Linked DNA regions of Ovis aries. The protein of the gene in region 1 interacts with the protein of each later gene in a pairwise test. Links are inferred from orthologs where the notes say so. Each region holds a gene or a part of one and is shown in the gene's direction. Other genes may lie near its edges.

Region 1 (16,330 bases):
ACTGTGGGATGGAGGGGGACTACAGCTTTGTTGATGATCTGGAAATCTTGAACCATTAACCAGATTCTGTCCTTTTTCTTTACTGAGAGGATTGGGGTGTTACATGGCAAATTGGTGGGGACCAGTAGCCCACAAACAAGGAATTTATTTATTAAAGGCTATAGTCCCTCCCAAGCCTCTCTTCTGAGGAGATATTGTTTCCCGTTAGGAAACCGAGTGGGATCTTGGAGGACAGTGATGACCAGTTCAGCTTGGTGGGCTCATCCAGGAATCCCCTGGTCCCATGCCTGGGGGTTAATTTTGCCCTCCCATAGTTTTTGGTCCCTCTCTATTGGAGAAAGTATAATGGGTTCTTCAGTAGTAACCAGAAGCTATAGGGCTCTAGGGGCTGAAAAGCTTCCCATCACAAGGGTGGTCCCCAGTTTAGTAAGTATGTCTCTTCCCAGTAAGGGAGTAGGACACTCAGGGACCACCAGAAACTGGTAGGAAAATATTTGTCCATCCCAGCAACAAAGAAGTGCTTGGGTGAATCTTTTAGTAGTTATTTTTCCTGTAGCACCCAAAATGGTACAGGTGTGGGAGGAGAAGGCTCCGGAGTAGATCAAGACAGAGTAGGTAGCCTCTGTGTCAACCAAGAAATTCGGACCTACCGGCCACATCCAGTTGCACCCTTGGCTCCAGCCCCGTGATGGTTATCTGTGACAGGCGGGCTGGCTGGAGCAGGCCGCTTCATTCCTGTTGAACCATCGTGAGGGAAGGCTTGGCACTTGACCTTGAGGTTCTTGGGTCCCAAGGGCAGAGTGCCACCCAATGTCCCAGTTGATGGCATTTGTAGCAAGCTGTTTGAGGAGACTTATCATGGTTTGGACACTCTTTGGCTCAATGCCCCTCCTGTCTACAGGTCAGTCATTTGCCTTGTGCCTTGTCCTTCAAGGGCTCGGGGTTTGCCATGGGGCTCCCTTGCTGGGTGGCCAGCATCTGGGCATGCCTTGTCTCTTTCCTTTTCTCCCTTTCCTGGGCCTTGGCCTCCTTCTCCTGTTTTCTGTTATAAAAAAGTATTGGTGGCTGTGTGGACCATCTCATCTAAAGAGGAAGCAGGGTTTGGCTGCTCTAGCTGTTGTAACTTAATTCTGATATCTGATGCACATTGGGACAGGAATCTGTCCTTTAAAATCACCTGTCCCTCGTAAGAGTCTAAGTCCAGATTGGTAAACTTTAGGAGGGCCTCTTTTAGCCTTTCCAGAAAGGCAGTGGGGTTCTCGTCGGGCTCCTGAGTTACTGCTGAGACTAGGCACAGTCCCATAAGTAATAGGCTTCCTTCTGTTTCCATGGGTGGACTTCCTTAAGAGTGAGTCTTTCTGAAGCTTATTCTACCCAGTACTGTTGCAGCCAGAGAGCCAGGCGTCCCCGGGTCAGGGTGCAGATCCCCAGGCAGGCTAAGGCGTGACAGCCTCTTAGAGATCGAATCCCCAGGCAGGTCGAGGCATGACGGCTTCCTGGGACCCCTGGACTGGCGGATCCCCGAGCAGGTTGAGACGTGACAACCTTTTGAGGACCAGGACCAAGATCCCTAGGCAGGTTAAGGCAGATTGACCTCCTGGGACCCCCGGACTGGAGTTGGGCATCCCCACGGTCTCCAGCATGACCAGTGCTGGGTAGGATTAAGGGGTTGTAATCTTAACTCATTGCTGGTTGGTCCACCGTGGAGGGAATAGATATGATGATGTAAAGCAATCCAAGCCTGTGCTCTGAGGCTGGGAAACAGTGAAACAGTCACAAGCCTTGTCCTCTTACGGCCCTAAGAGACTGCAAGTCGCTGATTTCTTCCCCTCGTCCTCCACAAGAGCAGGCTAGGGTGTCTCCAATGGTAAGTTTCGTTGTCATAGACCTACTTTAGGTAATAACATGAGCAATGACAAAGGAGAGGTTATCTGGCCCTGTTGAGGCATTAAGGTATGTTAGTAATAGCCTGGGTGGAGCCTACAAGGGAACAGGGTCCTGATTGTAGGAGTTAGAAATTGGCTTAAGAACAAATTGTTAAGAGGCAACAGACCAGATGTTCCTTAAAAGTGGAGTGGAGATTTGATCCAGGGGTATGTTTGTAACTTTAGGAGAAGGGTGGTAAGGGTTTGGGCTCAAACGGCCTGCAGGGCTAACTCCCAAAGTGGCAAACATTATCCCTGGAAGCCCAGTTGCCTTTGAAGGGATGCCAACTGATGGACAGGCATTGTGTGCCCGTCGCCCGCCCTAGCGGGTCCCCTGGGAGATGCTGGTGGTGTACATGTTGTAGGAACATGCAAGATGAAGGCCTGAATGTCTAGAGGGGTTGGATATCGCACAGTATTTCCCTCCCAGGGGCCAGCGATCTTCTGGTTGCCCCTCCAGAAGATTGTAGAGGCAGCGTTGTGGGCCCGGATGGGGCTGAGGAAAAGAGCATGAAACAGGAGGGAAGGGGGCAGAGCACAACCTTTGACAGAATGACATAGCGCAAGGGCATAGCGTAAACTGATTAAAACGGATTGGGTCCAAGATGACGAGTCCAATTCAAGCAAACCTGAATCCCCAATCTATAAGCCAAAAGACACATCCAGAGGTGGCAGGACTGCTCTAAGGCACTGTCAAAAGATGGAGGAGTGGGTGGTTCCCCAATAGTTGGGATGAGCCTCCCCATCATCAGCATATGAATTCACCCCGCAGGCAAAACCTAGCCAGACTGCATTCCTCAGCAATGGCCCACACCCTGAAGAGTGGACGGCTCCTCTTTTTATGTTTGTTCCCCCCCCCCCCCCCCCCCCCCCGCCCTGTCCTATGTAAATTGCTGTTCTGCCTGATGTCTTCACTCCAATACTCTGACCTTCCTTTGACCTTCCTTTGTTCTATTTTCTCAGGCTTTTCCCTTCCCTGTCTTTTAGCCACCGCCATTTTGGACTCCTGTTTCCTATTCTAACTACCTAACATAGTCATAAGGGATTTGACTTAAGTTATACCTGAATGGTTTGAACATTCTTTGGCATTGCCTTTCTTAGGGATTGGAATGAAAACTGCCCTTTTCCAGTCCTGTGGCCACTGCTGAGTTTTCCAAATTTGCTGGCATATTGAGTGCAGCACTTTCACAGCATCATCTTTCAGGATTTGAAATAGCTCAACTGGAATTCTATCACCTCCACTAGCTTTGTTCGTAGTGATGCTTTCTAAGGCTCATTTGACATCATATTCCAGGATGTCTGGCTCTAGATGAGTGATCACACCATCGTGATTATCTGGGTCGTGAAGATCTGTTTTGTACAGTTCTTCTGTGTATTCTTGCCACCTCGTTTTAATATCTTCTGCTTCTGTTGGGTCCAGACAATTTCAGTCCTTTATCGAGCCCATCTTTGCATGAAATGTTCCCTTGGTATCTCTAATTTTCTTGAAGAGATCTCTAGTCTTTCCCGTTCTGTTCTTTTCCTCTATTTCTTTGCACTGATTGCTGAAGAAGGCTTTCTTATCTCTGCTTGCTATTCTTTGGAACTCTGCATTCAGATGCTTATATCTTTGCTTTTCTCCATTGCTTTTCACCTCTCTTCTTTTCACAGCTATTTGTAAGGCCTCCCCAGACAGCCATTTTGCTTTTTTGCATTTCATGACGGGCAGGTCATGGTGGAGAGGTCTGACAGAATGTGGTCCACTGGAGAAGGGAATGGCAAACCACTTCAGGATTCTTGCCTTGAGAACCCCATGAACAATATGAAAAGGCAAAATGATAGGATACTGAAAGAGGAACTCCCCAGGTCAGTAGGTGCCCAACGCACTACTGGAGATCAGTGGAGAAATAACTCCAGAAAGAATGAAGGGATGGAGCCAAAGCAAAAACAATACCCAGCTGTGGATGTGACTGGTGATAGAAGCAAGGTCCAATGCTGTAAAGAGCAATATTGCATAGGAACCTAGAATGTCAGGTCCATGAATCAAGGGAAATTGGAAGTGGTCAAACAGGAGATGGCAAGAGTGAATGTCGACATTCTAGGAATCAGCGAACAAAAATAGACTGGAATGGGTGAATTTAACTCAGATGACCATTATATCTACTACTGCGGGCAGGAATCCCTTAAAAGAAATAGAGTAGCCACCATGGTCAACAAAAGAGTCCGAAATGCAGTACTTGGATGCAATCTCAAAAACGACAGAATGATCTCTGTTCGTTTCCAAGGCAAACCACTCAATATCACAGTAATCCAAGTCTATGCCCCAACCAGTAACGCTGAAGAAGCTGAAGTTGAACGGTTCTATGAAGACCTACAAGGCCTTTTAGGACTAACACCCAAAAAAGATGTCCTTTTCATTATAGGGGACTGGAATGCAAAAGTAGGAAGTCAAGAAACACCTGGAGGAACAGGCAAATTTTGCCTTGGAATGCGGAATGAAGCAGGGCAAAGACTAATAGAGTTTTGCCAAGAAAATGCACTGGTCATAGCAAACACCCTCTTCCAACAACACAAGAGAAGACTCTACACATAGATCATCACCAGATGGTTAACACTGAAATCAGATTGATTATATTCTTTGCAGCCAAAGATGGAGAAGCTCTATACAGTCAACAAAAACAAGACCGAGAGCTGACTGTGGCTCAGATCATGAACTCCTTATTACCAAATTCAGACTTAAATTGAAGAAAATAAGGAAAACCGCTAGAACATTCAGGTATGACCTAAATCAAATCCTTTATGATTATACAGTGGAAGTGAGAAATAGTTTTAAGGGCCTAGATCTGATACATAGAGTGCCTGATGAACTATGGACTGTGGTTTGTGACATTGTACAGGAGACAGGGATCAAGACCATCCCCATAGAAAAGAAATGCAAAACAGCAAAATGGCTGTCTGGGGAGGCCTTACAAATAGCTGTGAAAAGAAGAGAAGCAAAAAGCAAAGGAGAAAAGGAAAGATATAAGCATCTGAATGCAGAGTTCCAAAGAATAGCAAGAAGAGATAAAGCCTTCCTCAGAGATCAATGCAAAGAAATAGAGGAAAACAACAGAATGGGAAAGACTAGAGATCTCTTCAAGAAAATTAGAGATACCAAGGGAACATTTCATGCAAAGATGGGCTCAGTAAAGGACAGAAATGGTCTGGACCCAACAGAAGCAGAAGATATTAAAAAGAGGTGGCAAGAATACACAGAAGAACTGTACAAAACAGATCTTCACGACCCAGATAATCACGATGGTGTGATCACTCATCTAGAGCCAGACATCCTGGAATATGAAGTCAAATGAGCCTTAGAAAGCATCACTACGAACAAAACTAGTGGAGGTGATGGAATTCCAGTTGAGCTATTTCAAATCCTGAAAGATGATGCTGTGAAAGTGCTGCACTCAATATGCCAGAAAATTTGGAAAACTCAGCAGTGGCCACAGGACTGGAAAAGGTCAGTTTTCATTCCAATCCCAAAGAAAGCAATGCCAAAGAATGCTCAAACTATTGCACAATTGCACTCATCTCACATGCTAGTAAAGTAATGCTCAAAATTCTCCAAGCCAGGCTTCAGCAATACGTGAACCGGGAACTTCCAGATGTTCAAGCTGGTTTTAGAAAAGGCAGAGGAACCAGAGATCAAATTGCCAGCATCCACTGGATCATGGAAAAAGCAAGAGAGTTCCAGAAAAACATCTACTTCTGCTTTATTGACTATGCCAACGCCTTTGACTGTGTGGATCACAATGCACTGTGGAGAATTCTGAAAGAGATGGGAATACCAGACCACCTGACCTGCCTCTTGAGAAACCTGTATGCAGGTCAGGAAGCAACAGTTAGAACTGGACATGGAACAACAAACTGGTTCCAAATAGGAAAAGGAGTACTTTAAGGCTGTATATTGTCACCCTGCTTATTTAACTTCTATGCAGAGTACATCATGAGAAACGCTGGGCTGGAAGAAGCACAAGCTGGAATCAAGATTGCTGGGAGAAATATCAATAACCTCAGATATGCAGATGACACCACCCATATGGCAGAAAGTGAAGAGGAGCTAAAAAGCCTCTTGATGAAAGTGAGAGAGAGGAGTGAAAAAGTTGGCTTAAAGCTCAACATTCAGAAAACGAAGATCATGGCATCTGGTCCCATCACTTCATGGGAAACAGATGGGGGAAACAGTGGAAACAGTGTCAGGCTTTATTTTGGGGGCTCCAAAATCACTGCAGATGGTGATTGCAGCCATGAAATTAAAAGACGCTTACTCCTTGAAAGAAAAGTTATGTCCAACCTAGATAGCATATTGAAAAGCAGAGACATTACTTTGTCAACAAAGGTCTGTTTAGTCAAGGTTATGGTTTTTCCATTGGTCATGTATGGATGTGAGAGTTGGACCATGAAGAAAGCTGAGTGCCAAAAAGTGATGCTTTTGAACTGTGGTGTTGGAGAAGACTCTTGAGAGTCCTTGGACTGCAAGGAGATCCAACCAGTCCATTCTGAAGGAGATCAGCGCTGGGTGTTCTTTGGAAGGAATGATGCTAAAGCTGAAACTCCAGTACTTTGGCCACCTCATGCGAAGAGTTGACTCATTGGAAAGACTCTGATCCTGGGAGGGATTGGGGGCAGGAGGAGTCGTGGACGACCGAGGATGAGATGGCTGGATGGCATCACCGACTCAAATGATGTCTTTTAATGAACTCCAGGAGATGGTGATGGACAGGGAGGCCTGGTGTGCTGCAATTCATGGGGTCGCAAAGAGTGGGACAGGACTGAGTGACTGAACTGAACTGAACTGAATTTGCCTGGATTCATGGATCTAAAATTCCAGGTTCCTGCACAATATTGCTCTTTACTGCATTGGACTTACTTCCATCACCAGTCACATGCACCACTGAGTGTTGTTTTCACTTTTGCTCCGTCTCTTCATTCTTTCTGGAGTTATTTCTCCACTGATCTCCAGTAGCATATTGGGCACCTACCGACCTGGGGAGTTCATCTTTCAGTGTCGTATCTTTTTGCCTTTTCATACCCTTCATGGAGTTTTCCAGGCAAGACTACTGAAGTGTTTTTCTATTGCCTTGTCCAGTGGGCCACGTTTTAAAAGGAAACGTCTCCACCCTGACCCATCCGTCTTGGATGGCCCTGCACACCATGGCTCATACTTTCATTGAGTTAGACAAGGCTGTGATCCATGTGATCAGTTTGGTTAGTTTTCTGTGATTGTGGTTTTCATTCTGTCTTGCGTCTGATGGAGAGCTTACTGGAAGTTTCCTGATGGGAAAGGCTGACTGAGGGGAAACCTGGGTATAGTTTTGATGGGCTGGGTCATATTCAGTAAGTCTTTAATCCAATTTTCTGTTGATGGGCTAATGGAATACTTTTTAAAGCATGATCTGTAGGTGAGTTTAGCATGTACCTTGGAAGTTTAAGGAATTGACTGATACTGCCAGTGACATAAGTCCCTCCATACTTATCTATTTATATAAGTCAGCAAGTTTTCTCAGGGATTGACATCTATAAAAACAAACCAAAAACATAGGTCCAAAATTGATGGCGAGCTCTGTCTTATTTAGTAATATTCATTCAAAAGATTCAGATTAAAAAAACACACACACACGGCTGCATTTATTCATAGCTATATTGCCATGCCCATTTTATTTTTCCTGTTTAATAATTATGTGACAAAGTGTGTGGTGTTTCATGCTATTTTGATGAACCATGTCCCACTAGAAATAATAACTCAATCCGGAATAGATTGTGTTATTTTACGTATATGAGCAAATATCTTAGAGCAGTGCTGAGCAGGGTTTGTCTAGACAGTTGACTGAACGCGGACCGTACCTAGCGCGCAGGAGAAAAGGTGTAAACGCCTATCTGCTGTCCTCTGCCGGCGCGCCGTCCTGAACGGAACCCGCTCCGCGCCGCGGCGCCCTCACAACGTTCCGTCGCAGCCGCTCCCACCAATAGGGGGCACACGCTCGTAGGCTGCCGGGGGCGGGCCCCGAGCACGCCTCTCGGTCGCCCGGTCGAGTCTCTCGGCTTCCGTTGCGCATCGAGCAAGATGGCAGCCTCCGAGACGGTTAGGCTACGGCTTCAATTCGATTACCCGCCGCCCGGCGCCCCGCACTGCACGTCTTTCTGGCTTCTCATCGACCTGAACGGATGCCGCGTCGTCACGGACCTCATCAGCCTGATCCGCCAGCGCTTCGGCTTCAGTTCCGGGGCCCTCCTGGGCCTCTACTTGGAGGGGGCGCTCCTGCCCCCCGCCGAGAGCGCGCGCCTGGTACGAGACAACGACTGCCTCAGGTGCGCGCGCGGCGCGGCGCGGGGGGCGGGCGCGCCTGCGCACACGCCGGGGCGCCGCCGGCGCGGAGGCCGCGCGGCCGGCTGCGCGGGGGGCGGCGAGCGGCCTGCCGGGAGCCCGGGGGCCTCCGGCCGCCCCGTGGGGCGCGGGGGCCCGGCCGCGGACAAGCCCCGGCCCGCTGTCTGGGCGGGGCCCGCGTCCCGTCCAGCCTCGGCGTCCCGTCCAGCCTCGGCGTCCCGTCCAGCCTCGGCGTCCCGTCCAGCCTCGGCTTGCCGAGCGCTTGCTCAGCCGCGCCCCGTCGTTAGGTGCGCGGCGCGGGCCGGCCTCGGGCTCGGCCTTGCCCCGGCGGCTCGCGGGCCCCAGCGGGCGCCCAACAGGCGTGGCTTCGTCACCAGGTGCGGTCTCCCCGGCCTCGGAGCGCCTGCCGGACCGCCTGGCGGCCCAGTTCTCTGTCTCACTTGGGTTCGGTTAAATAGGTGTTTGTAACCTTTTGGCTTTGACTTGGGAAACCAAAGTTTTAAATACGCTTTTGGAAACTTAAAAAAAAAGAGAGAGACAGACACTGACATGAGTGTGAAGGTGCAGTCTTGTGTAAATTGCTCACGTGTGGCTCATATGTCTCAGTAAAATGGTAAGCCAGTCGTTTTGTTGCAGGAAGGGGGACCCCTTCCAGGGCCCGAAACTGGGCTCTTGTCTAACAGTAGGAAATGAATTGTTGGAGGAGACACCTGCGCTGACCAAGCAAGAGTTTTTATTGAGAAAGGGCACCCGGTGGAGAGCAGTAGGGTAAGGGAACCCAGGAGAACAGCTCTGTCTCATGGCTTGCAGGCTCAGGTTTAATGGTGATGGGATTAGTTTCTGGGTTGTCCTTAGCCAATCATTCTGACTCAGAGCCCTTCCTGGTGGTGCAGCCTTGTTCAGGAAGACGGATGCCAGAGAGGATTCTGGGAGGTGGGTAGACAGGTGGTGTCTCCTTTTGACCTTTCCCAAACTCTTCTGGTTCAGTTCAGTCGCTCAGTCGTGTCCAACTCTTTGCGACCCCATGAATCGCAGCACGCTAGGCCTCCCTGTCCATCACCAACTCCCGCAGTTCACCCAAACTCAGGTCCATCGAGTCCATGATGCCATCCAGCCATCTCATCCTCTGTCGTCCCCTTCTCCTCCTGCCCCCAAACCCTCCCAGCATGAGGGTCTTTTCCAGTGAGTCAACTCTTCGCATGAGGTGGCCAAAGTACTGGAGTTTCAGCTTCAGCATCAGTCCTTCCAATGAACACCCAGGACTGATCTCCTTCAGAATGGACTGGTTGGATCTCCTTGCAGTCCAAGGGACCCTCAAGAGCCTTCTCCAACATCACAGTTCAAAAGCATCAATTCTTTGGTGCTCAGCTTCCTTCACAGTCCAACTCTCACAGCCATACATGACCACAGGAAAAACCATAGCCTTAACTAGACGGACCTTTGTTGCCAAAGTAATATCTCTGCTTTTGAATATGCTATCTAGGTTGGTCATAACTTTTCTTCCAAGGAGTAAGCGTCTTTTAATTTCATGGCTGCAGTCAACATCTGCAGTGATTTTGGAGCCCCAAAATAATAAAGTCTGACACTGTTTCCCATCTATTTCCCATGAAGTGATTGGACCAGATGCCATGATCTTCGTTTTCTGAATGTTGAGCTTTAAGCCAACTTTTCCACTCTCCTCTTTCAGGTTCATCAAGAGGCTTATTAGTTCCCTGTTCCTTACCAGGACCTCCTGTCCTAAAACAACTCATGCAGATGGTTATTATGGTGCCTGGCCAGGGTGGGCAGTTTCAGTCAGTGTGCTTCCCCTAACAGTTTCAGTTCAGATTCATATATTGGAGTGATTTATTTAGGGCTGCTTTTTTTAAAATTTAAGATTTATTTATTTTAAAGTGGAGGATGATTGCTTTACAATATCGTGTTGGTTTCTGCCAAATATCAACATGAATCAACAATAGGTATGCCTCTGTCCCCTCCCTCTTGAATCCCCCTCCCACCTCACTCGCATCTCACCCCTCTAGGTTGTTACAGAGCCCCAGTTTGAGTTCCTTGCCATACAGCAAATTCCCCCTGGCTGTCTGTAGTGTGTATGTTTCCATGTTCCTCTCTCCATGCCTCCCATCTTCTCCTTCTTCCCCCACCCCACGTGTGCGTAAGTCTGTTCTCTATATCTCTGTCTCCATTGCTGCCCTGCAAATAGGTTCATCAGTACCATCTTTCTAGATTCCATAGATTTTGTTCATATATATTTGTCTTTGTCTTTCTGACTTACTTCACTCTGTATAATAGGCTCCAGTTCATCCACCTCTTTAGAGCTGACTCAGATGCGTTCCTTTCTATGGCTGAGTAATAGCCCCTTGTGCGTATGTAGGTGAAATCTAGGTTGCTTCCGTGTCCTTGCTGTTGTAAATAGTACTGCAGCCAATATCAGGATACATGTGTGTTTTTCAGTTTTGGTTTCCTCAGGGTTTATGCCTAGTGATGGGATTGCTGGGTCAGAGGGTGGTTTTATTCCTAGTTTTTAAAGGACTCTCCATACTGTCTTCCATAGTGGCTGTATCAGTGTATATTCCCACCAACAGTTCAAGAGGTTTCTCTCTTCTCCACACCCTGTCCAGCATTTATTGTTTGTAGATATTTTGATGATGGCCATTCTGACCAGTGTGAGGTGATATCTCATTATAGTTTTGGTTAGCATTTCTCTAATAATGAGTGATGTTGAGCATCTTTTTATGTGTGTGTTAGCCATCTGTGAGGCTTCTTTGGAGAGATGTCTGCTTAGGTCTTTTGCCCACTTTTTGGTTGGGTTGTTTGTTTTTCTGGTATTGAGTTGTATGAGTTGCTTGTGTACTTTAGAAATTAATCCTTTGTCTGATGTTTCAGTTGCTATTATTTTCTCCCATTCTCAGCGTTGAGTGTTCACCTTGTTTGTAGTTTCCTTTGCTGTGCAAACACTTTTAAGTTTAATTGGGTCCCATTTGTTTATTTTTGTTTTCCTTTCCATTACTCCAGGAGGTTGGTCATATCGGATCTTGCTGTGATATATGTCATTGAATATTCTCCCTATGTTTTCCTCTAAGAGTTTTATAGTTTCTGGTCTGAAACGTTTAGGTTTCTAATCCATTTTGAGTTTATCTTTGTGTATGGTGTTTTAGGAAGTATTGTAATTTCATTCTTTTACATGTAGTTGTCCAGTTTTCCCAGCAGCACTTATTGAAAAGACTATCTTTGCCCCATTGTGTATTCTTGCCTCTTTTGTCAAAAACAGGGTACCCATAGGTGCATGGGTTTGTTCTGGGCTTTCTGTCTTGTTCCATTGGTCTATAGTCCTGTTTTTGTGCCAGTTCCACACTGTCTTGATGACTGTAGATCTGTAGTGTAGTCTGAAGTCAGGAAGGTTGATTCCTCCAGCTCCATTCTTCTTTCTCAAGATTGTTTGGTCATTTGGGAGCGTTTGTGTTTCCATATGAACTGTGCGATTTTTTCGTTCTAGTTCTGTGAAAACGCCGCTTGTAGTTTGGTAGGGACAGCACTGGATCTGTAGGTTGCGTTTGGCGGTGCAGTCACTTTCCCAATAGTGACTCTTCTAGTCTAGGGACGTGGAGCGTCTCTCCATCTGCCTGCGTCATCTGTGATTCCTTTCATCAGTGTCTTCCAGTGTTCTTTTGTCTCCTTAGGTAGGTATATTCCTAGGTATTTTATTATTTTTGTTGCAGTAGTAAATGGAACTGATTCCTTAATTTCTCTTTCTGATCTTTCACTGTTATAATATAGGAATGCAAGTGATTTCTGTGTATTAATTTTGTATGTACAAAATCAAGGCCTCTTTTTAAAAGCTTCATTTACAGTGAAAAAAAAAAAATAGAGTTGTGAACCAGGCTACTTCCTTCTGCTTGCTTTTTGTTGAATGTTGAATATTCTTTTTCCCAGAGTATGTCAGATTCATATGATTTTTTAATAGCATCAGGGAATTTAATTTGGAACAGTTGCTGTATCTTTGAGTGCATGTATGTATCTTTCTGCCTTTCTTATAAAAGCAGGAACACTATGATTTACTAATAACGTTTAGCTATTTCCAATGACAATTTGAAATAGTCCAGGTTTCAAAAAAAGTTGTTTTCCTTTTTTATTCATTCTGTTCTTTCTGCAGTTCAGGGACTGTTTATTATAAATATTGCATCCTGTCCTGTTATGCTTACTTTCTGATCTCTCTCCTGCTTCATGAATTAATAACTTGCTGATAGCTAATTGCAGTTGTACTTCATTTAATCATCTGAAAATTAAACTCTTTATAATGAAGTTAGCAATGTCAAAAGCAAACTATGAAAGCTGTTATAGGAAATAAATACAGCACCGATGGCAGGCAGACTTCTTCCTAAACACCAGATGCACAGTCGCGTATGTCAAAAATATCTCGGCAGCTGGCTTCAGTGGTGAATGGGGCGGACCGTAGGAAAAAGTTGAATTTGGAAAAGTCCTGTATGTTTTTGCGACTTCATGTCCCCAGTCATTTGCTCGTCTTCCTCAGACTCACTTTTCTTCAGAGCTACAGAAGAACACAATCTCTTTTCTCCACGGTACCTAATATTTTTGGAGTAGAGCAAAATAGTTTTGTGTTTCTGTATACTATCTTCTTGTGCCATGTGGACTGGGTCGTTATTCCACGTTTTGCTGCTAAGTGCAAAAAGGAGAAAGGAGAGATCATGATGGAACCCAAATGATCAGGGAATTCAGCAGTAACTGAAGGGGAGGTAGGGAAATGTTGGATGGCCCTGTATAGTTGTGGAGACAGAAGCAATACTAACTTGGCGAATAGATGAGTGTGACCAGCAGAAGGGCTTTGTTGGGATTGCCAGGAGTGCTTAGAGAATTCTCACGAGGGAACGTGGAGCCTGGTTGTGGGAATCCTGAGAAATTAACCCTGGAGGCTCAAGAGCATCTCCACACTGTCTGGCGCGGTCGCTTCCTCACAGCCCCTTCTTTTGAACCCCCAGAAGCTGACTGCTCTGCCCCCAGGCTGCTGACAGTGGCCTCCTGAAGGCGGTCTCCATCCCCCCTGGGAAGAGGATGCACTCCCGTTTGCCTGGAGCCCCGTTAGTCTGCGAGGGCCACTCTGATGAAATACCACAGGCTTAAGCAACCGAAAGTTCTCTCTCACTATTCTGGAGCCTGAAAATCTAAGATTAAGATGTTGGCAAGTTTCGGTTTTTACTGAGGCCTCTGTCCTTGGCTCGTGGGTATCTCTCTTACTGTGTCTACACATGACCTTTTCTCTGTTGTCACAAAAAGGCGCGTGACTGATGTTTCCTTATGTGTCCAAATTCTCTCTCTCATCAGGACACCAGTCACAGTGGACTAGGGCCCACTCTAACGGCCTTACCTTAATTTTATTACCTCTTCAAAAGCTCGTCTCTATATACGGTCACATTAGAGTACTCTGGGGTTAGGGCTTCATAGAAGAATTTTAAGGGGACACAATTTAGCCTACTACACTCCCTGAAGGGAGCTTCACAGGGGCCTGCCGGCAGCCCCTGGCTTGGAGAGCGACCAGGTGAGGTGAGAGCTCTCTGTTGAAGAGTCATTCTGTGAGAAAGTGCCTGCTCTCCTCGGTCACTCTTTGACCCTGTGACGTTTGATGCTTATTATTAAATACAGAACATTAGAGACGAGTTCTCATCTCATGGTGCTGTGATCAGTAGCTCCTTGGATGGCCAGCCAAGCCCTCTGACATGTCTGTGAGGCTGCCAGCGAGCGTGAAGAAGACAGTGTTTGAGCCAGACTGAGAGCAGTCCGGTTTCCGGAAATCTTGGATGCCAGAGAAGGTCCTCGCCTTTAAAGCTGCTGCTCCTCGTGCAGCTCTGGGCCTCCTGATGCTAAGTCTCACTTTGTGGCATGCTGATGGTTTGAGGAATATAGCATGCCGGGCGCACCTCTCTGTCATATCAAGGAGCATGCTTGTCTAATGCCCTTGGGTTTTCCCTGTACATACTGCTGTGGTGAATATTCTTCAGTATCTTTGTGTACGTGAGCAGTGACTCAGTAAGATCATTCCTAGAAGGGGTACTACTTGGTCAAATGTTAAAATCTGATAAGTACTGTCAGGTTGGCCTCCAGAAAAGTTGTACAGGTCTGTATTTATGCCAAGAGTGTGTGGGTTACCTTTGTTCAATATTGTGTGACAGATAAGAGTGACGGAGAGCAGAATGATGAAGAGATCAGGGTCTGAATTCAGAGCTCTGGATTCGAATTTTGGCTCTGTGGCTCATTAACTGTGTGCCCTTGCTCAGACAACTTACTTCTCTGTAGGTGGTGATGCGGGGGACACATGGGGCCCCAAGAGATTGCAGATTCCTGCTTACACCCACTTTTTTGAATTTCACCTCCATTTGATGGGACAAGTTCATTAAAAACCCACCAACTCCTGTCCTCAGAAGACATTCATTTTATTAATACATTCATTGTATTAATAAAAATTGGAACTAACATTTGGATAGCTCTTGCTCGTAGCCCAGCACTGCTCTAAACATATATGGTAGCTCATTTGAGTACTATATTATTACCCTGATTTTCACAGATGAGATAAGTTGAAATAATGATACTTTAAACTTTTAGCCAAAGGCAGAAGAAGATTTGAATTCAGTCACTTTGGCCTTGGCAATGACTAGGGGGAGTGGGGAGGTGTCAGGCAGTACAAATGATCATGTCTTCTCTATTTCTATATGATAGAATCCTCAAAGTGAACTTGCAGATTTAAAGCGACTACCTTACATTTTAATACATTTTACCCAGTTTGCCCTGCAAAGAGTTTGAGTGAACAGGGAGTCTTAAAAATTTCTTGGAATTAGACAGGTAAACTATACAGGCCGTCTGCCTTCACTGCTCATTGTACAGGTCGCTCACTGTTCTTTGTAAAAGGACAGCTTCATTCACTTTTGTTTGTGAGCAGACGGTTACATTTGTTGTCTGTGATCCAAGTGGAGAAATGAAGAGCATTGCCAGAGAAGCGTCCACCACTGGGCAAGTGAGCCGTTTCTCGTTCCCTGGTTGGCACTGAGCTTCTCAGCCTTAGTATGTTCCAAACTGGAATTGTCTTCAGCAGCCGCAGATGGCGAGGCTGCAGCAGTCACAGGTCGAGCACCCGCAGACCCTTGGTCTTGAGAACGCGTGAGGTGTCGCTCAAGCTGCTCTGGAAGGCTCCTCTGAAAGCCGGGGTCCTGCCCGCAGTGGGTGCAGCGCGTGCGGCGTTCCAGTGAGCTAATGAGCCGCAGTGACTGAACAGAAAGTCTGACATCTGTGTCCTTTTCATTCACTTACTTATTTTAATTGGAGGGTAGTTGCAGTATTATGATGGTTTTGGCCATACATCAGTTTGAATCGGCCACAGGTATATGGAACACGTGTCCCATACATGTGTTCCCCCTCCACCTTGAACCCCCCTCTCCCACTTCCCTCCTCACCCTATCCCTCTAGGTTGTCCCAAAGCACCGGCTTTGCGTGCCCTTCTTCATGCATTGGACTTGCACTGGGCATCTATTTTACATACGGTAATATGCATGGTTCAGTGCTATTCCCTCAAATCATCCCACCCTCTCCTCCTCCCACTGAGTCCAAAAGTCTGCTCTTTACCTCTGTGTCTCCGTGCTGCCCTGCATGTAGGATCATTGGTACCATCTTCCTAAATTCCATAATATGCATTAATATACAGTATTTGTCTTTCTCTTTCTGACTGACTTCACTCTGAATAATAGGCTCCAAGTTCATCCACTTCATTTGAACTGACTCAAATGTGTTCCTTTTTATAGCTGAGTAATATTCCACTGTGGTATGTATGACAGGTTCCTTATCCACTCGTCTGCCAGTGGACATCTAGGCTGTTTCCATGTCCTGGCTATTGTAAACAGTGCTGCGATGAACATTGGGGTACACGTGTCTCTTTCAATTCTGGTTTCCTCGGGTTGTATCCTCAGCAGTGGGATTGCTGGGTTGTATGGCAGTTGTATTCCCAGTTTTTTTTTTTTTTTTTTTTAAGGAATCTCTACACTGTTCACCACAGTGGCTG
Region 2 (15,894 bases), on another chromosome or scaffold:
GAAGCAGAAGGACACTTGCTCCATCTCTAGGTTTATAAACTTATGCAGTATGAGAAAAAAGGGACTTCTGGGGGACAGCAGGCACATCTAGAATGGCAGAGGGTTTGTGAGGTCTGAGAGGTATGGGAAATGGATCAGATCAGGAGACATAGAACAGTAAAGAAATGAGAGTTCAGAAGATGATGGATGGATGACTCAATAGGTAGTATTTGTGGCAGGTAAACAGAGATGGGAAGTATGGTGGACTTGCTCCTTGGGGTCTGTTACGGAAAAGTGGACATTAGACCATAAATACCATGAGAACAGGAAATTACAGTGGGCAGCATACATGGTGTGAAATGGGACTTCGAATAAGATTTTGTGGCTGAATGAACGAATGGATGCAATGAATGATTGAATGGGAGAGCTCAGGATGTGTGATCCAGAATATTTAGCCAGAGAGCATGTGGCCAGTGGCTTCTGTTCTCTAATGCTGGAAGAACATTCTCGCTAGACATGGGGCGGTATAGTGACTTTCCCAGGATACCTGGTTTCTCCAAGGACTCATACTGGGTGGCTGTTGAACATGGCATTCAGAAAGATTTATTTATATTTTCAAATAGATAACAGATTGACTCAACACTATTGAATCATACATTATTTTAATCTGGATTTGGAAAAATACTTTCATCGTAAATTCTTTTTATAATATTAGGATTATATTACGACTACAAAATGGCATATTTTTGCCCCATACAAGAAATTGTTCCTAACTATATAGTAGAAATCATTGAAATCACTAATAGGGATGATTCAGTGATGAAACTGATGATGTGCAGTGAGAGGAGCTAAGGTTAGTGCAAAGTACCTTGCTGTTAGTGAGGGAGATGGACTTTTATCAGGAATAGTTACAAGTGATTTCTAAGTTGGTATTATACCTTAAAATCTTTATATTATATTGGTATTTTTATAGACATTGTGCAAATATATACTCATTCTTTATCTATGTTATCTTTAGACCCCATGCTATATTTTCTCTAAAGAGATCAAGAAATATAGATAACTAAAGACTTCAAAATCCTAAAGGATAGTGCCGTCAACGTGTTGCGTTCAATATGTCAGTAAATCCGGAAGACCCAGCAGTGGCCACAGGGCTGGAAAAGGTTAATCCTCTTCCCAGTTCCCAAGAAAGGTAGTACTAAAGAATGCTAAGCTTCGGACAGTCGCACTCATCCCCCATGCTAGTAAGGTCATGCTTAAGATCTTGCATGCTAGGCTTCAGCATTATGTGAACCAAGAACTTGCAGTTGTCTAAGGTGGGTTTAGAAAAAGAAGAGAAACCAGAGATCAAACTGCCCACATTCGCTGGATCATAGAGAAAGCAAAGGAATTCCAGAAAAACATCTATCTCTGTTTCATTGATTACGCTAAAGCTTTTGACTGTGTGGATCAGAACAAACTGGGGAAAGCTCTTAAAGAGATGGAAATACCAGACCACCTTACCTGTCTCCTGAGAAACCTGTATACGGGTCAAGAAGCACCAGTTAGAACCCTTTATAGAACAAATGGATGGAGGTCAGGATGGAGAAAAGAGTACGACAGGGCTGTCTGCTGTCACCCTGTTTGTTTAACCTATACGCTGACTACATCATGAGAAATGCTGGGCTGGATGAGTTACGTGCTAGAATCAAGATACGCAGGAGAAACAGCAACAACCTCAGATATGCGATGATGCCATCCTAATGGCAGAAAGTGAAGACGAACTAAAGAGCCTCTTGATGAGGGTGAAGGAGGAGAGTGAAAGAGCCAGTTAAAACTAAACATTAAAAAACCTAACATCATGGCATCTGGCCCCATTACTTCCTGGCAAATAGAAGAGGGAAAGCTGGAAGTAGTGACAGGTTTCCTCTTCCTGGGCTCTAAAATCACTGCGGATGGTGACTGCAGCCATGAAATCAGAAGATGATTGCTTCTTGGCAGGAAAGCTATAACAAATATAACAGTGTGTTGAAAAGCAGAGACACTACTCTGCCAGCTAAGGTCTGTAAAATCAAGGCTATGGTCTTCCCAGTGGTCAGGTATGGTTATGAGAGCTGTACCATAAAGAAGGCAAAAAGTCAGAGAATTGATGCCTTCGAACTGTGATGCTGGAGAAGACACCTGAAAATCTCTTGTAAAGCAGGGAGATCAAGCCAGTTAATCTTAAGGGAAATCAACCCTGAATACTTGTTGGAAGGACTGGTGCTGAAGCTGAAGCTCTGGTATTTTGGTCATCTGATGCGAACAGCTGACTCATTGGAAAAGTCCCTGATGCCAGGAAAGGTTGAGGGCAGAAGAAAAAGAGGGTGTCAGAGGGTAAGATGGCTCGATGGCATCACTGATGCAATGGACATGAACTTGGGCAGACTCCGGGATGTGGTGAGGGACAGGAAGGCCTGGCATGCTGCAGTCCATGGGGTCGCAAAGAGTCAGACACAGCTGGGTGACTGAACACAACAAAAAGAGTTCACATAATACTAAGACTGGACATTTAATAATGTATCATCCATTACAGAAAAGCAAGATCAGAGGAATGCATGAAAGCTAGGGCAGAATTTGAAAGGTGCTGAAGAAAAGCCTGCTTCAGACTCTGTGGTGATGTAAATGGGAAGGAAATCCGAAAAGGAGGGGTATGAGTATATACATAGCTGATTCACTTGGCTGTACAGCAGAAACTACTGCAACTTTGTAAAGCAACTAAACCCCATTAAAGAGAGAGAGAGAGAGAATGAGATAAAACAACAGAGAACAAATTCCCCGTGCAAATAAGCTCCAGTTCTTTCAAGGCCTCCATTTATATTTCCTTCTTTTCCTTGTTTCAGTAAAGTACAAAGCACCAAGTAAAATTTCTTTGACCCAGTTTCTTTTATTCGCTCTCACAAAAAAATAAACCTCATTTTGAATGGTGTTATTCTTCATTTCATAATCTTCTTTTAACTTCTGACAGTCAGTCCCCTCAGCCCCTCCATGTGCAAATCAAGGGTGCCCTATTTTCTTATTTTTAAATTATTTTCATGATGAAATTTATAATAAATGTAGAATTAACAGGCTCAAATAATGTTTTTAGGCTGATTTTTTTTTTAAAAAAGGCAGTTGAAATTAATACATTTAGCTTGTGATAAAAGGTGTCAGAAATTTCCACCTGAGGTTTTGTTAATTTAACTTACCAGAGGGGAAATTGTAATTACAAATGAATGCATATTTGTTGTTGAGAAGCTGGCAGAAGATTCCCATTTTTCCTGATGACAGACAGTTTCCTTGGCTAAAATAAATAACTTTGCTCCTCCAGTGAACCCCAAAACTACAGAATGCAGTTACAATGCTGGTATAGCTCACTTTTTTTTTTTCCATTTTCTGCTTTCACAGTATTCTGTGAATGCTTGCTTTGTAGAAGACTGAATATACTAGCAACAATTTATTGTCATTTTCCTCTTTTACCTGCTATAAAATATATATGTAAGGTTTCTGATTTTTTTTTTCTTAATGAAAACCTGCCATGTAGGGATTAATAAATCATTCTGTCTGATTATTTTGTGACATTCATGTGGAGAGTGAGGAGGATTGAAATTTGTGTTTGGAGACTGAAAGTTTTCATACTGCGAGGGAAGGTTTCTGTATTCCTTTTCAAGGTTAGTCTTTGTGAAGAATTTGTTCTTATATAGTTTGGATGTCATTCCATCAAAATATGGATGAGCCAAATTAACATTTTGATACTTTGTAACTGAGCTGCATTTTATCATCCTTCTGCCAGAAATAACTAGTGAAATAGTACTAAAAACAGGTAAGTGTATTAGATAAGGTCGGAGCACAGAAGATGGAAGAGAAGTGGTCAGTTGGCTCCTATGATGAGACTAAATGAAATTAGGAATGCACCCCAAAAGACAAGACTGTATGATTCCACCTGTGTGAGGTATCTACAGTGGTCAAATTCACAGAAACAGAAATAAAATGGTAGTTACCAGGAGCTAGGGGGAATTGGGGAAAGGAAAGTTGTTATTTAATCAGTATATAGTTTCAGATTTATAAGATGAAAAAGCCATGGAGCTCTGGAAATCTGTTTCACAACAGAAGCTAAACCTAGCATTACTAAACTATACACTTAAAAATGGTGAAGATGGTAAATTTTTTTTTTTTTTTACAGTTGAAGTCTATTTGACTTACAGTGTTGTGTTTCAGGTATACAGCAAAGTGATTCAGTTATTCTTTTTCAGATTATTTTCTATCATAGTTAGGACAGTAAATTTTATGTTGTTTTTTTTTTTTAACCACAATAAAAAAAAAAGTGAGGAATGCAAATTGTCAATTAAATTTAGCCACAGAAAGGTCATTCAGGACCTCAGCAAGAAAATGGTTTTCTGGAGGTTGGAGAGTGAGCCCACTTGAGGCAGTGGAAGAGGGGCAGGCTGCTGAGGAGATGGAGACTATGTAAGTAAAATTACTTCATAGTGTTTGGATGTTAAGGTACATGGGGGAAATAGAAGGTGAAGGTGTTTTCGTTGTTATTGTTTTAAGAGAAACTATAGCATTTTTGAATGGGGATGCAAAGCCTGTAGGGGGCAAATAGAAAATGTGAGAGAAATTGATTGAGGCCAGAGATTGATTGAGGCTGCTGAGAAAAGGGGAGGAGCTAGAGTCTACAGCATAAGGAATTAGCAATTTGAGAGTTGCCAGGACTGGTAGGTAGAGTTCCTCTGGCTGCTCCTACAGGTATGGTCAGGTTGGTAAGTTAATCAGATGGGCAACCTCACTCCTGCTTTGCCTGAGCAGACGGTTTACATGGGTCCCCACTGAAAAGCGCAGAAAGGCCCAGTACAGAGATTATACAAAGAAAGGCACAATTGCAAAGAAAGATAATGCACAAATAGCTCTTTGTTCATTTTCCCTGAGAAAAGCAGGCCAAAAGTCTGCAAGCCCAACTCTCCAGACATATCTGGGAAGTGTTCATACCTCTCTCTAGTGAGAAATGACAAGTGACTTAAGTAACAGACCAAGCTGAAAGTCTTGCTGCTCAGAGGTGCTATTAATTAGAGCTTCTTCCAACCCTAAAAAGAATATATATTGGGGAATGACAGAATGAGAATAGATATTGATGTCTGTTCCGTACTAAATGAGATAGTTTAAAATTTTCTTAAGTCTATTATTTTCAGACATTGGCTAAGCAAAGGAATAGATAATCAGTGTGTGTAACACATGGGAAACCTCCTGAGTACATTTGTTTGGAAACTTAGAAATCTGGCTTTAAAGGGTATTTTATGAGTTATATGAACTTTATTTTCAAATGGTATTCATTTTTCCAGTCAACAGAGTTTGTGGAGGTGTTGGAAAACTCAACTCCTTCAATTCACTGTGTTTTCCTTACCTGTCCTCATTATGTATTATATATTAATTATGTATTATATATTAAAATATAGATATTGATATGTATTACATACTATGTAGTATATACATTATGTACCAATATATAGGTATTGATAATATTTTATTTTTTCTAGGATATTGATAATTCTTTATGTTTTAAAGGACATTTTAAAAGTTTTTTTTTTGGAGTTCTAGTCATTTCTTTGAGGTTGTTCTTGTATCAGTTCTTAAACAGTAATACCTGTTTCAGCTGAATTGGGAAACAGTCTCAAGAAGGTACGAGATATATTCTGTGGAAAAAACTCACTATAGATATAGTGAGTTTGTACTTGAAAACAATAAATTTCTCCAATGCATTTATTCAACAAATATTTATTTGTTGTTTTCTATGTTGTAAGCACTTTGTTTTACTTACACCAGTGAACGTAACTGTCCCTGACCTCAGGGAGCTTCTAATCTAGTGAGGGAGTCCAGATTCAAACAAATAACCACATAAATTGTATAATTAATATAATAACAAATTATGTGAAGAAAAAGTACAAGGTGGTATAAAACCATATTACACAGGCCGCATTTAGGTAATTTGGGGAATTAGGGAGACCTCCCTGAGGAGGTGACATTTAAACTGAGGCCAGAAGGTTACTTAAGAACTAGTGTGATGAAGATGTGGCGGAGAGCTGGGTATAGAAAGTGAGAGGTAATAGACTGCACAGTGGCCTTGAGGTGGGAAGAGGGTTTAAGAAGAGATGGAAGACCGCTGGACTGGAGCAAGCCAGACAGAGAGAAAGCTCTGTAAGAAAGGCTGGTGAGTAGGGAGCCTAGGATCACAGCCATCCATGGAGCAGTGCTGGCAGCATCTAAGAACCAGACAGGGTCAGATTTATGTTCTTAAGAGTTCGCTCTGGTAGCTGTGTGGAGACATTAGTCTCTGTGACAGGGGGTCAACAGACTTTCTCTGTAAGACATGAGGTAGTAAATATACTAGATTTTGTGAGTCATGGGGGTCTGTTGCAGCTGCCCAGCTCTCCATGTTTTATGGAAGTAGCCATAGACGCTATATGAGTGACTGAACCTGGCTGTGTTCTCGAAAACTTATTTATAGATGCTGACATTTGAGTTTCATATAGATTTTACGTGTTGTGAAATAGTCTTTTTTTTTAACTTTTTAAATCATTTAAAGATATGAAAGCCATTGTTAGTTCCCAGGCCGCATGAAGATAGGAGGCAGGCTGACTTTGACCTGGGAGCTGTGGTTTGCTGAGTGTGGTTTGTTACAGCACTTCTTTTCTTTCTTGTTTAACTTTTTTTACTCTGCCTCTTAAATGATGTTTACTTCTACCTTGACATTTTTCTTAAGTTATCTACACTTTTTTCCAACACTCTGTTAAAGATATGACCAGTACTAAATAAAAAATGGGAATATAACCTCTTCTATTTTTATCTTAGTGTTACATTTTCCATTTGAAACTCAATAGACATGACTGATCCATTCTACTTTTTTCCACAGGCTTTTTTAAAAATGAATAATTTTTTGTTTTTTCCTGTTTATTTTTTTTTCCCAAAGTGTTATACTTGGTGCTTTCTTCTTTCAGGCCTCACACTGAATTTTTTCATCTTCTCTTTACTTGGTAATAACTCTTAAATTTAATTCTGACATTCAAAAGAAAAAATGGTAAAGACATCAGGAAAACAAAATGCATCATATTCAAACAACACAATTGCTTGTAAACGTTTGTTTCTGATAAGATGAAATAGTTTCTTTACATCAAGGTATGACATCCATATTATTTCAGATCTGCAAATAATTATTCTGACTTGAAGGGAAATTCGTAGTTGCTTTTGTGTATTGTGGTATTCAGCCCCACAGGATGCTAGAAAGCATAAGGTTTTAGAAAGAGTACATATAGACTTGGTTCAGCATCCATCTGAGCCTTACTAGGTATATGATATGATATGATATGATATGATACTGGGCAACTTAATTAATTTCTTGGAGCTTAAGTTTCTCTGAAGCATGCAAAATACATAGTGATGGAAATTCCCACCCACCTTTCTTCCCCCTGTAAGCATGATAGTTTATCACATAAAAATTGCTATGTTAAAAAACGGCCTATATTTGTTGATTGTGAGGGTGTTTGGTGTTAGTTTTAACCTTCTACAGATAGAAAGTTTAAAAAAAAAATCTAGCGGTATTCCAAAATGGAACCAATGAGCTTTTAAGGTGGTATACATGATTAAAGTCTGTACTTTTCATTAATATTTCCTCTGCCTTGTTTATTTTACTTCTGAAAACTCAGGTTTGACAGTTCTCTGGAAGACCTACCTCAGAGTGGACCTCACCCACCTACAACTGCTCAGGTTTTACATATTGGTGGCCAAGTAGCCACAGTTTCTAAAGTAACTTCGTATTCTAGGTAGAGTTTTTTCCTCTTGTCTGTCTAAATTTTAATGCTGGTGGTGATAGGTACTAAAACTGTTTGACTATTAATACAAAGGAAAAGCTGATCATAGATTACAGAACTGACATCTCTAATATATAGACAGAGCTTGGCGCTCAGCCTTGGTGGAACACTGCTTTACACTACTTTTAAATTTTTCATTTTTTGTTTGGATTCTGAGTTCTAGTTTAGAGTCAGGAAATCTGTGCCTTTTCTCTGTTCACTGTGCTTTGGAAAGTCATCTTTCTTGAGTTTGTCATAAGTCTATTGAATTAGAGCATTCCCATCTAAAAAAGAACTGATAGAAATTTTATGTTCTAGGTGCCCAGATACATTCTAATTATATTGAGGTTAATTTTCCTAAGATTTTGACGGACTCTGCTCTACTCAATCTTTTTATACTATTATTTGTGATACAATGTGATGAAAGAAATTCATTATAGCTTCCTTTTCTTCTTATAGAAGAAGGATAATTTAGCTGATTGATTTTTTAGATGACTTTTTTGTAGACTTAAGTGTCTCATTATTTGCCATTATTTCCCTGAAATAGAAGCCATTGTCTCAAAGATGCAGAGTAATTGAAAAACTCAAAGTTGAGTCAGTTGTAACTGTATTCTTCCACTTTGTATGACACTCATATTCTTGTGCTCTGCTGCTTATCTCATTTTTCTTTTCTTTTTCTTAGACCCCATTTTTTCTTTTCTAGCCATTCACAACAGTTAAAACATATCTGCACAGTTCAATTAAATTATAGACTTACCAAAAATTATACTTAAGCAATTCTCTCTCTGTGTGTGCATATAATATAGATAGATAGATGGATAAATGACTTACCACGGTTTTCTTAATTTGTCTTCTAATGTTTTGTAAAATTATAGCCAGTGGAACTAGGAATAATGAATTATCAAATTATTCTAGAAGGGAGAAGAGGAGACAGGGAGAAGAGACTTATATCACCCCTCACAGTTTTGGGCATCGGAGCTCTTATTCGCTTGAGTTGAGTTTGGTACATAATTATATTGTGTTAGAGGTGGCCACTGTCACCAGTTTTGGAAAAGGCAGTCATAGTATAGTGAGGCTATTCATTAAGAACTTATATGCGTAGTTAAAGCAGAGAGACATAGATTTCATCCCATGCATTTTAAACTTTCTTTTTACCTAATAAAGAAGTTCTCAATTCCAGCTTGATAACCAGATTTGAGAGAAGGGCATGGCAACCCACTCCAGTATTCTTGCCTGGAGAATCACCATGGACAGGGGAGCCTGAAGGGCTACATACAGTCCATAGGGTCGCAAAGAATCAGGCACGGCTGAGAAACTAAGCAACAGCAGCAACCAGATTTGAAAATCATTACAATCCTAACGATGGAATGTTAATTCCTATCTAGGCATATGACCTTTTCTAAAGGACCAAAGGAAACTATTACTTTAAATAATTGGAATTTTGAAGGTAAAATTTCATAGCAGCATTTTTGAATCTTTACAGAGCTAACTGAAAATAGAAATACAGAGCATCATTAGAGAAGGTGATCTTTTAGTCATATTCACCGTAACTACTGTTTATTTCTGCAAAGGTGTTTGCCCTCTCCAAATAGTTTTACTCTCAATATTTAAAAGTTATTTCTTATCTGTATTAATATGTATTGTAGCTTCTGAATAAGCAGGCAATTGTACCTGCTTCTCTTGAAAACTCGAGTCTCATTAAAACATCAGGCTCTGGGTGTATATTATCTCTAAGGTGTATATCAATTCTACATTCTCGTTATGTAGAAACTTTTTGGAAAAGTTGGTGTAACCTTCCTTCTTTTTCTGCTTATTGAAATTCACCCTTCATGTTTGGATTTATTTTCTGCTTAGTTGTTGACAAAGAAAAAGAAAGGAAGTTGTTGACAAATCAGTCTTCAAATTTCTATTGTTATATGATACTGATTTCACTTTAAGTAGGATTAGAGACTGTGAGCTTTAGAGACTGTGAGCTTAAAAACATTCAAAAATGTTTGTATAGTATTTAACCCAGTTTTATGGAGGATTATGTATCAGATTTTAATTTCTGAGAGAAATCATAGTAACAGTGAATAAAGGATCTGAGCTCCTTTTACACTTGTGACATGTCACGCCTTTAAAAGTCTAAGTATTAACATGGCATGATTGCTATCTTATCTTTATTATGCTACCCCTTCTCACTTTCCTTTTTGCTCCTCTTCTCTGTTTTTCTGCTGACCGATTTAAGCAGCTCCACAAGAAATGTGGCAACCAGTCCTTTGGAAGCTTCTCGAAGCTTATCTACCTTGTCTTCTCCTGCTAGATACAGTGCTGCCATTCTGAGCAGCGCAGCCGCTACTGTGTCTGCTGCTCTTGCTGCAAAAACCAGGTAGAGCTGCATGTACGGTGTGCATCCGATGTGAACCCAGTGCTTTTCACTCTTACAACTCACCGCTGGGAAAGCATTCCCATTGGAATCAGCCACAGCCCTGTTAGGAGATCTTCATTGTATTGGGGACATTTTTTTCTAGGTTGTGGCTATATCCCACAGAGTTTATTGCTGATTTTTCCTAAAATAATCCTTTTATCTCTTTCCATTACCACCGTTTATCTGTGATATTTCTCAGTTGTGTGGATTGTTGCATGTTGTGTGCCTATTGACTTTTGAGTGTTTATCATTTTTATGAAACAAAATTCTGAAACGGAATCAAGCATAAATAGGTATTTTAGATTTCTGTTGGTTTTATCTTCTCCCACAAGCTGGTTATGGTTGAAGTTGATCTAAAGCCTAACTATTCTAATGTCTGTTCATCCTGTAGAAAGACTAAACCTTTTTATTGTTGTAGGGTTTTATTTTTACATAATTTCTAGTATTTATAGCTTTTGATGCTTTCCAAAGGATTGCCTTGATCAACTTTGATGAGAATTTACTCAATTCTGTATTAATGAGTAGAATAACATGATAGACACTTCATCCTCTTTCTGCTGCTTTGTTCTGTTTCTGTCCCTCTCTCTCTCTTTGGGAATGTTTCAAATCACAGACTATAAAAACTACATACTTCCTGCTATCGGTAGTGTGATTTTTCGACTTAAAACTCTTTCTGAATGCTCACCAGGCTCTCCAGTCCCGAAAAATATCACTCACTCCTGGATGCACTTTGCATCAGCCCTGTATCCAAGCCTTTAGCTTTTTCGTATCTCCAGCCCTTGAGGAAATCAACTGGCTCTGTCCATGTTAAGAGGACCAGGTACGGGGAGAGTGGATGTCATAACGGGGGGCTTGCTGTGAAAGGTACTGCTTTCTCTGACACTGAAGCACTGTATTAACAGCCCAAATGAGAAACCCTAGAGCTGTTTTGTGTCCAGTTTTAAATTAACTATAATTTCAATGCAGCAATAATGTACGAGCACATTATTTTGTATGATTATTAACTTGACTTTTAATCCTTTGTGACATCTCTTATTAGCACACTTGATATTTGGTATGAAATAGGACCCTGTTTTTTATTGCATGGATATTGCTATATGAGAATTGTTTAATAAGATACACCTTTATACTTTTCAAAAAAATGAAAAAGAATAATAATTGCTTTTGATTGGCTACTATCTTATAGTTCTTAGATATGAGAGTTTTACTTTGTCAGACAACTTAGTTTTCACCATATCTGGGAAATGCTGAAATACAAAAATGAACTTTTCTCCCAGACTTAACAATTATGCTAAAAATTATTAGGTATAATGTAAAAGTAAAAAAATCCTGAATGTTTCCTAAAGGTATAATCTTAATGAAATGACTATATTATTTCTGAAAGAACATAAAATTAATGGCAGAGAGTATGACTGTAATTCGTAAAAGCCTGATGTGACCTGTTGATCATATGTTTGTGTCCTACCAACAGTGTTATGGATGTGCTCAATATACTTAATTACAGACATCCCTTGGAGATATTACAGGTTTGGTTCCAAACCACTGCCATAAAGTAAATAGTGCAATAAAGCAAGTCACACATTTTTTTTGTTTTCCAGTACATATAAAAGTTATATTTACCCTATATTGTACTCCATTAAGTGTACAATAGCATTATGTCTAAAAAATTAATGTATATACTTTAATTTAAAACTGTTATTGTTTAAAGATGCTGACCATTATCAGAACCTTTAGAGAGTCATAATCTTTTTGCAGTAGTAATACCAAAGATCACTGATCACAGATCACTATAACAAATGTAATCATAATGAAAAATTCTGAAATCTTGTGAGAATTACCAAAATATGACACAAAGTGGGCAGCAAATGCATTTGGAAAAATGATGCTGATAGACTTGCTTGAGACAAGGTTGCCACAAACCTTCAGTTTGTGGAAAGAAGCACAGTATGTATGAAGCACAGTAAAGTACAATTAAATAAGCTCTGTATAACTCTGGATAACTTTTAAGGGAGATGTTTGAATAGGGGGAAGACATATCATTGTACATTTTGCTCTAAGGAAAAAAAATACCCCAAATTATTTGTGGAATTAGATGTTATGGGGAGGGAGGTGGAAGGGGGGTTCATGTTTGGGAACGCATGTAAGAATTAAAGATATTAAAATTAAAAAAAAATGAGCAGAAATATAACATTATTAGGGCTAAGTTTATACAAAGACAGGTGCTGACTACCCTTGGAATAAAAATTCCTTTGAGAACACAATAGAATCTCTAAATCCTCTATTGCTTTCTTTCTGTCTTTATTTTTAACTAAATGGCTTATGGTATGTTTTGGCTGACATCAGATGGAGATGGAATGAGGAAAAGCACTGGTTATGAGAAAATACCCTGTTTCTCCATTTGTGCCATGCTCATTCAGCTTTTGATTTTTTATTCCAGTAAGTTATTTTGTTCTCACTGTTGAACAGAAAAAGAACAACATAAAAATCCTTATATACCTTGTTTGAAGAATTAATGTTTTTCATTTATCATTGCAAAACTGAGAACAGTTTTATAATTTTTTGGTATGTAGTTGTTATGTGGTAAGTCAGTCTGTTTTTAAGCAGGAAAAGTTACTCTAAAAAAAAATGCATCCCTGATTTCCTTTCAAATCAGGCTCCTTATTGTTTAAATGAACTTTTTTTTTTTTTTATATGCCTGCAGTTATGAACCGACTGTTTGTCCATGGACCTACTTCTAGAGGAAGTGTTAGTAATTTTCATTACTTTTTATTAACAGTTGTAGACACAAGCTAAATATGTTTGATATCCAGAGAAGGAAAATGGTTCTCGACAAGGTAAGCTAGCTGGCATTCTGCAAAGCAAAAGTGCAGGGTTTCCTGAAGAGACCTTCCCACCTCAGTGAGAAGTGTACTAGAAAGGGCAGTTGGGATATTGTCAGACGTATTTTATCTCTGATTTTTGCTTTTGTTTAACAGTAATCTTTAAAATTAAAACAGAGGTCTGTATAGTCAAAGTTATGGCTTTTCCAGTAGTCATATATGGATGTGAGAGTTGGACCATAAAGAAGGCTGAACACCGAAGGATTGATGCTTTTGAACGGTGGTGTTGGAGAAGACTCTTAAGAGTCCCTTGGACTGCAAGGAGATCAAACCAGTCAGTCCTGAAGGAAATCAATCCTGAATATTCAATGGAAGGACTGATGCTAAAGCTGAAGCTCCAACACTTTGGGCACCCGATGTGAAGAGCTGACTCATTGGAAAATACCCTGATGCTGGGAAAGATTGAAGACAGGAAGAGAAGGAGAGGACAGAGGACAGGATGGTTGGATGGCATCACCGACTCAATGGACATGAGTTTGAGCAAGCTCCAGGAGATGGTGAAGGACAGGGAAGCCTGGCGTGCTGCAGTCCATGGGGTCACAAAGGGTCAGACACAAGTGAGCGACTAAATAGCAACAAATCTTTAAAATTATAATAAAGCGCAGTACAATACAAGACTTGTCTTTCCATTATAGTATTTATATTTAATGTGTTGAATTTTAATACAAAAGTTTAAGAATTTTGCTTAGGAAAATACAAAAAGTTTTCTTGTAAACAGAATTCTGGAACAAAGGAGACTCATGATGGCTCTATATGTCTCGATCCTTTTATAAAGTTCTTAAAGAATTAAGAATTCTTAATAGCATTCTATAAGAATACTTATAATTATGACCTTACGGAAATACTCCTTTCTTATCACTTCAGAATGTGTATATTCATTCCTATATCAATTTTTGTAAGACTTTAGCTAAAAACTGCTTAGTTTAAACATTGATGTTTAAAATCTGTGATGTACAGTTGGCTTTTAAAAAATTTAAACATGTAATTATGATATTTAGAATAAAAGTTACCTCACGGTTATTCTTTGAGCAGAGATTCTCTTTTGAAAATAGACTTGAAATTTCCAACTCTTCCCCATCTGCAGCTGAAATTTATTTGTTATAATAGTTAAACAAATGTGGGGAAAGAATGTAAATTTAAGATAAATCAGGTTGCTGACACTGAAAATTAACTTTTCTTCCTTTTTCTTTTATCCTCATTAGCTCAGTTTTGAAACCTTTGCTCTATCAGTATACATTTTTCTCCATTTTAAGGTTTTGAAATATGAAACAGAATCTTTGGTATTCTTCAGATGGAAGTCATATTAATTTTAACATTTCATTTCAGCGCTTGTTTATTTGGCAGACTAGTGAAAATGACCATGTTTGATGCTGAGCTTGGTATTAATCAACATTGCTAATGGATTTGCTCTGGTTTTCTTACTAGGATCTTTTAGAAAGCAGTTTAATTTGTTTAGAATTTAGGTATACCTTAAACCATTTAAGTTTAGAAAAAATGTACATGAGTCATGATTTTAGAATATACCAATCTATGTGTTCATGACTATTATATTAATGTTAGTCATTAGTTTGAAATATTTTGCTGTTAGTGATTATTAATGGCATTTTCCCCAAATATAGAATTATATAGCCAATGGCCTTATTAATTTTTTAATCTTTACATAATGTTCATATATTTCTTTAAGTAATAAGTAATAGTTAAAAATTAGAAAAAAAAGATGTTTGATTTTTAGGGGCTTGGACGTCATATATTTCAACATGATTGTCTAGAGAAAACTTAATTATTTCCCATTAATACATTAAAAATTTTAAGTTAATAGAGATCTATTCTAGAGATTTTTCAGCTCTGCTGATCAATCCTGATATAAATAGAACTCCCTTGCTTATAACTTAGATTTTCAAAATTCTTTATAATCTGCACACCCTTTGTATCTAAAGAGTACTATTTAAGATTTAAAATCTCAGAGTCTTTGGGAGAAAATATATACAGAACTGTGTACAAAGATTACAAAAAATATGAAAACATTTTTTGCTTATGAGATACTGTGTGTCATTTAAAACTGAGTTGAAGAGGCAAGATTATACCTGACCTCAAAATCCTGGATCAGAACTATCTACAAACTACATTTAGAAGCAAAATCACTAGCGCAGTTGAAGGATGTTTACTTGCTAAATGTGTTTATCTCTAGATGTCTGAGCTACATATTACGGGATATGGCATTTCTGGAGCATACAGTCTGTGCTCAGCAGTGTGTTCAGTACTTGCTGTGTGTTACATGTGTTATCTCATTGTATTTCATTTAATCCCGGCAATAACCTTGGAATAACATAGCATTTTTTTGAAGTAGGTTGAGTCACGCTAGTAAAGTAATGCTCAAAATTCTCCAAGCCAGGCTTCAGCAGTACGTGAACCGTGAACTTCCAGATGTTCAAGCTGGTTTTAGAAAAGGCAGAGGAACCAGAGATCAAATTGCCAACATCCGCTGGATCATGGAAAAAGCAAGAGAGTTCCAGAAAACATCTATTTCTGCTTTATTGACTATGCCAAAGCCTTTGACTGTGTGGATCACAATAAACTGTGGAAAATTTTGAGAGAGATGGGAATACCAGACCACCTGACCTGCCTCTTGAGAAATCTGTATGTAGGTCGGGAAGCAATTGTTAGAACTGGACATGGAACAACAGACAGGTTCCAAATAGGAAAAGGAGTACGTCAAGGCTGTATATTGTCACCCTGCTTATTTAACGTCTATGCAGAGTACATCATGAGAAACGCTGGGCTGGAGGAAGCA

Evidence for each region.
Region 2: the proteins of COIL (region 1) and PDLIM5 interact in binary tests that used the Homo sapiens proteins (3 or more experiments, as listed by UniProt). The two-hybrid records come from large-scale screens. The link is inferred for Ovis aries from reciprocal best matches to the Homo sapiens genes COIL and PDLIM5.

The regions. Positions count from the first base shown.
Region 1 is NC_056064.1:7,480,311-7,496,640, reverse strand, and holds the start of COIL (coilin), read left to right. Parts: upstream 1-7,986; 5' UTR 7,987-8,010; coding exon 8,011-8,255; intron 8,256-8,577; exon of another isoform or gene 8,578-16,330. UniProt on the Homo sapiens protein: Component of nuclear coiled bodies, also known as Cajal bodies or CBs, which are involved in the modification and assembly of nucleoplasmic snRNPs.
Region 2 is NC_056059.1:30,643,056-30,658,949, reverse strand, and holds part of PDLIM5 (PDZ and LIM domain protein 5), read left to right. Parts: intron 1-7,673; coding exon 7,674-7,790; intron 7,791-10,044; coding exon 10,045-10,185; intron 10,186-10,912; coding exon 10,913-11,044; intron 11,045-15,894. UniProt on the Homo sapiens protein: May play an important role in the heart development by scaffolding PKC to the Z-disk region. May play a role in the regulation of cardiomyocyte expansion. Isoforms lacking the LIM domains may negatively modulate the scaffolding activity of isoform 1.